Danio rerio: one gene and its partner. The protein of the gene in region 2 interacts with the protein of the main gene of each other region in a biochemical or structural test. Links are inferred from orthologs where the notes say so. Each region holds a gene or a part of one and is shown on either strand. Other genes may lie near its edges. The genes, in order: sntb2 and dgkza.

Evidence for each region.
Region 1: the proteins of dgkza (region 2) and sntb2 form a complex in vitro, tested with the Homo sapiens proteins (2 studies listed by BioGRID and IntAct, with this or other methods). The link is inferred for Danio rerio from reciprocal best matches to the Homo sapiens genes DGKZ and SNTB2.

The regions. Positions count from the first base shown.
Region 1 is NC_133200.1:37,500,143-37,503,968, reverse strand, and holds part of sntb2 (beta-2-syntrophin), read right to left. Parts: exon of another isoform or gene 3,368-3,826; intron 2,824-3,367; exon of another isoform or gene 1,975-2,823; coding exon 1,773-1,974; intron 1-1,772. UniProt on the Homo sapiens protein: Adapter protein that binds to and probably organizes the subcellular localization of a variety of membrane proteins. May link various receptors to the actin cytoskeleton and the dystrophin glycoprotein complex.
Region 2 is NC_133182.1:39,269,328-39,273,615, reverse strand, and holds the start of dgkza (diacylglycerol kinase zeta), read right to left. Parts: upstream 2,978-4,288; 5' UTR 2,841-2,977; intron 1-2,840. UniProt on the Homo sapiens protein: Diacylglycerol kinase that converts diacylglycerol/DAG into phosphatidic acid/phosphatidate/PA and regulates the respective levels of these two bioactive lipids.

The DNA of each region.
Region 1 (3,826 bases), on a different chromosome or scaffold from region 2:
TATTGAAATGATTAGAGCTGTAATGAAAAATCCTTAGAGATATCATTATTGATTATGAGCTTAGTTTTACCAGCAGGTGGTGCTGTACGCTTCACAAACAGCTGTAGTCTGCTTGCATGCAAATCTTTAAAAATACTACTCAAAGCTAAAATAATAATTAATAAAGTTAGGAAAGATTTAAGAAAAAATAAGCTTGCCTAGTGTGCCATCTGTGGTTAAAAAACTAGCCTGACTAGCCTAGAGCGCCATCTGTGGTGTAAAAAAAACTAGCCCTCCATATGTGGTTAAAAACTAGCGTAGAGTGCCATCTGTGGTAAAAAAAATTGCCTAGAGCACCGCCTGTGGTTAAAAAGACTAGCCCTCTATCTGTTATTAAAAAACTAGCCTAGAGCACTGTCTGTGGTTTAAAAATTAGCCTAGAGCACTGTCTGTGGTTAAAAAAAACTAGCCTAGAGCACTGTCTGTGGTTAAAAACAAAACACTAGCCTAGCCTAGAGCACCGTCTGTGGTTAGAAACAAAACACTAGCCTAGCCTAGAGCACCGTCTGTGGTTAAAAACAAAACACTAGCCTAGCCTAGAGCACCGTCTGTGGTTAAAAACAAAACACTAGCCTAGCCTAGAGCACCGTCTGTGGTTAAAAACAAAACACTAGCCTAGCCTAGAGCACCGTCTGTGGTTAAAAACAAAACACTAGCCTAAAGCACTGTTTGTGGTTTAAAAACTAGCCTAGTGCTTTGTCTGTGGTTAAAAAAACTAGCCTAGCCTAGAGCACTGTCTGTGGTTAAAAACAAAACACTAGCCTAGAGCACTGTCTGTGGTTAAAAACAAAACACTAGCCTAGCCTAGAGCACCGTCTGTGGTTAAAAACAAAACACTAGCCTAGCCTAGAGCTTCGTCTGTGGTTAAAAACAAAACACTAGCCTAGCCTAAAGCACTGTTTGTGGTTTAAAAACTAGCCTAGTGCTTTGTCTGTGGTTAAAAAAACTAGCCTAGCCTAGAGCACTGTCTGTGGTTAAAAACAAAACACTAGCCTAGCCTAGATCACTGTCTGTGGTTAAAAACAACTCAATAGCCTAGAGCACTGTCTGTGGTTAAAAACAAAACACTAGCCTAGCCTAGAGCACCGTCTGTGGTTAAAAACAAAACACTAGCCTAGCCTAGAGCACCGTCTGTGGTTAAAAACAAAACACTAGCCTAGCCTAAAGCACTGTTTGTGGTCTAAAAACTAGCCTAGTGCTTTGTCTGTGGTTAAAAAAAACTAGCCTAGCCTAGAGCACTGTCTGTGGTTAAAAACAAACCACACATAGCCTATAGCGCTGTCTGTTGTTGAGAAATAACGTAGAGCACCATCCGTGATTAAAAACTAGCCTAAAGCACCATCTCTGGTTTACAACTAGCCTAGAGCACCATGCTTGGTTAAAACAAGAGTGCTACCTGCTGTTAAAAAATTGCTCAAAATTAATTGAAGAAAGACTCATTTTGAGAATGTCAGAATTGATGCAGAATCGATTTCTTTGCCAATATGACTGTCAACAATGTCATCTGACTACATTTATCTCTTGCTCACAAAAGCTGTATTTATTTGATCAAGTACACGTCGTCAGTGAAATTTGTCATCAAATAAACAGCCTTGGTAAGCAAAAGAGACATTAAAATCATTAAATATCATAAGTTTTGACTCTCAGTGTAATCCAAACATAGTTTCTGTCTTCACAGTAGAATTAAAGTCAAGCTCAATAACACAGAGCTGCTTCTGAGATCTGGGACTCACCTGTTCTCCGGGTCAGGCATGGTGAGGTTTCGGCTGATGAAGCTCATTTTGAGCGGGATGACCTTTCTGTCTCGGCTGACGCTGCTCTTGGGGGATTCATCACTGCTGCTGAGGTTTGGAGACTGCAGACGGCCATCCCAGGACAAATCTGCACTCATGGAGGACTTCTTGAAGAGCGGAGACACTTCTCTGATGTACTTCACTGCACACACAGCACAAGTGGTCTTAAGCGGAGTCAAAACAGACCATCATTTTTAATGATTTGAATGAAGTGATAGTTCAACTAAAAATGTAAATTCACTCACTATTCACTCTGCCTCAAGTTTTTAGAAACCTTTATGAGTTTCTTTCACTGCTATTAAAGCACTATTAGCTTAGCATAGATCATTGAATCGGATTAGACCATTAGCATCTCACTCACATATTTTCCTATTTGAAGCCAGACTCTTTTGTAGTTACATCGTCTATTAAGACAAAAGGAAAATGAAAAGTGGCTATTCCCTCATTCTCGCTATAATAATCAAGGAAATTTGTTGCTGTATCACAGCTGCAGCAGGAGCAACGCTATTAGGTACTGCCCGAAAACCAACGTGATCAGCAACTTGCACATGTACCTTGCGAACATGGAGACATGTGTAAGATAATTGTGAACACATTTACTTTGGTGCAGATCTATTTGAAGCAAAATACATGAACGTTTGCTGCGATATATTGCACAACCCTACAGAACACAACACATCAAACCTTGAAGCTGATGAGCTACAGCAGCAGAAAAGAAGAGACTCGCTAAAAGTGGACACTAGGGCTCCGTTTACACTAATGCGTTTTCGTTTTAAAACGCATAAGTTTTGCTACGGTTACGCCATCCGCCCACACTACGGCGGAGTTCTCGAGCGGCAAAAACGGAGCGTTTTGAAAATGCTGGAGAGGCTGTTTTCATACTGACACACTGCTGCAATGTCTCGGTGTGGATGAGGAAAAACGGAGACATCTGAAAACGGAGGCGGGACCGCTGAGATTCGCTCCCTGATTGGGGCTTTTGTGTCATTAGCTGCGTCCCAAATCGCATACTTATGCACTATTCTACGCCATTTTGTAGTATAAATAGTGTAAGTAGTGTGTTCACACTGAAAACTCTTAAAATAATAAGTGCACTTTAATTACCCGGATGATGCCCTCATTCAGCCGCTAAAATGAAGTGTGGAATGATGGACACTTCACGCACTCAACGACCGCAGGTTTGCTTACGTATCGGAAGGGGCGGAGCTTTCGAGCGCACATGTTGGATAACTGTATTTATTTTGGATGGAGAAAGCAAAATTCTCCTACGAGAGTGATTATAGCGCCTCCCGATGGTGAATGCGGCAATACTCACGGCAGGTTTTATTTGATAATTCGTTCGTTTATTTCACTGATTTGGCAACCGTCAAACGTCATCAGGGAAACGGTTTGAATTTCCGTTTAGTAAAAAAACATTAGTGTGCCATTTGGGACAACACTACATACATGTACTATCCTGTTGAGTGTGTAAGTGCATAAGTACATAGTGCATGAGTGCATAGTGTATAGTGTGCCATTTGGGACGCAGCTATTGCGTATCCTTCCCTTATTCGTCAAGCCCCTATCACATGACTATAACACATGGCTTTAACGCTACCGGAAGACAGCAGACCAGCCTTCACTGTCATCAACAACATGGACACAGAAATGGGAGCGTTGTTTGCACTATTGTCTGTTTTAGGCGCCATTCTGCAGTTATTCATTTGTTACGTTTAGTAACAACTCGACCTCGTCGTCTGTCCACAAAAATACCTCTCTTGCTTTCTTTGCCATCGCGTTTAATGTTCAACCGGCGTTTGTTGACTAACAATAACCAAATGCCGAGCGAGACGCATGCTTTCTCTTTATACTAGAACGTGCATGCCCAGAGTGCGCGAATGGTCACGTGATATACGTTTTTGGTGGCGTAGTGTGGACGGAGATGTGTTCGGAGACGCTAGGTGAAACGCTAGTGTGGACGCGGATCGTTTTTGATCTAAAACGCCGTTTTAAAA
Region 2 (4,288 bases):
CAGTCACTGTAGAGGCTTGGCAGAGCATCATCAGGGATGAAACCCAGCGTCTGGTGATGTCTATAAGTTCCAGACTTCAGGCTGTAATTGACAGCAAAAGTATTTCAAGGATTAAAAAGTGAAAGTTTGATTTATGATTATTATTTTGTCCAATTACCTTTGGACCCTTAACAAGTGGGAGGCACATCTGCAAACTGTTGTAATTCCTACAGTGTTCACCTGATTTGGTTGTAAATACCATCAAATTAAAGCTGACAGTCTGCAGTTAAAGCAGTTAAATCTGGTTGGATTCGATTCAAATCCATTGGAGTATAGAGCCAAAAATGTTAGAATTGTGTCGATGTCCAAATATTTATGGACCTAGTTGTATAAACCTCGGGGCATATTTTATCTTTATTTTGTATGAGCATTATTCAGTGGAGTTAATTCAATTATTATAAACAGTACCTTTTATAATTAATTGCTTTTGCATATCTTCAGTTAGAACCCAACTTGATTTAAGACATCTGTTTGTAGTCTGGTAGTTAATTGATAAAAATAAATAAATCAAAAAGTATTAACATCTTGGATAAATTCTTACATCTGGCAGTATTTCAATAATTATATGGTTCTCAAAAGATATAGAGATGTTTATACTTTGCTTTCAAAAATGTATATGACAACATTCCAAGAGTTTTTATAGATTTTCAGCACCTTAAATCTTTAATCTGACATGTATTATGACAGTTCATCAAGCAGGAAATTCACTAATCCTGTATGTAAAGCAGCTGAGCATGTGCATGCCATGTTTCAATTCCTAACAGTTTTCTAAGCTGCAGTTTCTCTCGCTCTCATTTCTTCCCATGCTGTCATGGCTCATTCGCTTCCTAAACTTCTTTACGAGGATTTTCCACATTTTGGCAGTGTCAAATGGGCTTTTAGGTACTGCTGTGAACACACACTTGCCTTGTTGTACTTTAAGGAATTGACTACTGCAGTTTACCCAGAACTGAAAAGTCTGTTGTTGTTTGATCAAAACTTGGAGTGTTAAAGATATTCTTTAATCTTATTTTATTAATAAACATATTTGAAAGAATATTGATAACCAGACTGATGGCATTTATTAAATTCAACTTAAAAATAAAAAAAATAAAAGTGGATGCCAATAGCTAAAATCAACTATTTGTTTATCATTCAAAAAAAAAAAAACATTTATGTGTTTAGCAAGAGAGAGAACTCTTGGTTTTGTAACTTGTAGATAGGTTTGTAACTTGTATTAGGGCTGCACAATATATATGGTTTCAGCGTCGATATCGCAATGTGATCATTCACACTAGTCACATTGCAGGATATGAAATGTTGAGTTTGCATTATAATTTATCGTTTTAATGTCTGTAACTGTATAATGACCTTTTTGACCATAACTATGATTCCTTTTATTGAAATATATATTTTTTTTTTATCATTTAGTTACTGTACTTGAATATAGTTAGACTTGGGAAATAATAAAACACTTTATTTCAATTGTATATTGATTATATTTATAGATAGTTATTCATGAAAATATTTAGAAATGCACTGCAGGTAATGCAGACCACAAAGAAAATGTTTTTAAGGGCCCCAAAAACTTTATAGGTTGTTTATTAGATTTTATCAAGATGCAAATAGTAAACATTAATAATTCCCCAATCTCTGACTTACCATGTGCATGAAAATACTCACAAAACATGCATATACAGAAATGCACTGCAAATATAGCAGACAACAATGTAAAAACTTCGGTGAACCCTTTAAATTTTATAGATTATGCACCCCACTACAGAATCATCCTAATTGATCTACTATTTTATACTCTTTCCAAATAGATATTATTAATATATTATTAAGATACAATTGTACATATAATAAGTCATCTGGTGAAACTATATTCATATTGCAAAACACATATCGCAAAATGTTTCCAATATCATGCAGCCCTATAGTAAATGTTAAAAAATGATGATGATTTTCAATTTTGGATGAACTATTCCATTTGAAAAGTGCAGAAGACCACTAACCATGGTAAATCAGTCAAGTCTTGAAAGTAAGAAGTGTCCTGATGAAATCACCAACAGGTTTGCTTCCCTTAATACATACAGACACAACTGTATGGTAACATTCACATTATACTGTAGCAAATCGTCTTACACCAAATTGCCTAAACACTATATTTTAGGTTTCAGGCAAAGCTCCTGCAAATCAGAATTTATGGACAGAGCTATCTTTTTGCCCAAATAAATATCTAGTCTGCAGTGAGAAGCTTGTGCATATAAATATCTGAGTTATCTCTCTGCCAGCATGTACAAATTACAGTCTCTCTGTCTCTCACACTCACAATCAGTGGCCTATAAACACAGCAGTTTAATCATGTGCTTGACTATTTATTTTTATTATTCACATTACACAAACACAGTGACCAAGCACGAGTGCACTATTTTGAAAGTTTCCATGCTAGAGTTATAAAAAAATGCTATTGCTAACACCAATCCCAAAATAAGTACAACTTTCTCCTTTTCTTTAAAACATGAAACAGATTAAAACTTCTGGCTGCAAACTACAGAAGCGCTACATGCAAATACATACAAAATTAGTTCATCACAAAGAATCACAAAGACATCAATGAGATTACAGTCACTGTAACTTATAATCTTCAGATGAGTTGCCACAGACAAGACGATCCAGCAGATTTGCCTAATAAACCTCACATGTCTTGCTCTCCCACAAGCACCGCAAGCATAAATCACAGTCTAAAGGATACAGCACTGCACTCCAACTCTCCAGATCGACTAAACCCTGTAGAGTGAATAGTTAGAGAAACGTACAACCTGATGGCAGGGTCAAAATCATCCAAACGTCTTCTCCAGTTCTCTCACCAGATAACTTTTAGAGAAGAATGAAAATAAGAGAAAGAGAGAGAGAGAAGAGGAGAATAGAGACAGAAAGAAGGTAGACTGGGGATGGGGAAACAGAGAGCATGCAGTCTGTCCTAAGAGAGTGGGAGGGTCAAAAATAGAGCGAGTGAGAGAGAGTGAGAAAGGGGATCACAGACAGCAGCATGATTCTACTGACGAAGCATGCTTCCTCTGACGCAAACACCGAGCTTGTATGCAGATCAAGTCAACCAAACACTTCAAAAACGTGTACTGTCTGAACACATTTGAGTGCATGTACAGTACATGCAAATATGTAAGCAAACACCCCCAGAAGTTATTATGTAAATAAATGAGTTCTGGCAAGCTGAGAAAGCAGAGTAAGTGTATCTCTGACCTGAAGACATAGTTTAACCAAAAACTCACGTAATCATTTATTTTCCCTCATGTTTTTTCTTCTACTGAAAAACAAAAAACAGTTTGGAGTGGACTGATAGAGTCTAAATAATATGATACACCTATATGGACCAAAAAAAAAAAAGGAAAATAGGAAGAAAACAAAATAAAGACCTCTGGGTGAATTATTAAAGAGAATATATACTTTATTACAAGTTAACCAAGCATTTGAGGTGCTATAAAGCCACTTTTAAAAAAAATATATTTATATTTTCTTAATAGCAAAGTTTTAAAGAGCACCTATTTTACCCCTTTTCGAGATTTAAGAGAAGTCTTTTGTGCCTCCAGAATCTGTCTGTAAAGTTTCAGCTCAAACCATCCATCAGATTATTTACTATACATTTCAGAATATTGGATTTTCTGCTCTGAACACAATGTAACTGTTTTTGTAACTGTGGCTTTAATGCTAGTTTCCCACATGCCTGTTTTAGAGGCTGTTTCTCAATATGTGTTCTTAAGCGTTCTTGCGTCTTCGTGTTCTTACGTAACGTCATAATAAACTGCCGAAGTTCAGTTCCAATACTCAAGAGCGCAAGAACAGTGGACGGGTGATAGTTCCTGAATATGTTTTTGATATTGAAGATGCATCGATGCAGACTTGATCGCAAAACTTGCTCGAGAAATCCCAGAAGTCATTGCAGCTGAATAAAGAGGGTGGGAAGTGCAGCATTTTATATAGATTTATTATTAAAGTTTAGAGATATAACTTATTTGTCTCAGTAGTTTCCCTATATTTATAAGGTCTACATGCATAGTATATATAGTGAAAATGGGAAAAACAATAAATCGTTGTATGAATGCAGTAATGTTTAAATAAGTTTCCATTAAAAAGTGTAAAGGTCATGTGACCATCAAGAAGAACGCAGCATCTCATTTCTCACAGGACGTGTACTGTTTTCTTGCGGTCTCTTGAGTTTGTTCTTCCGAGGCAGCTTTGCAACTAC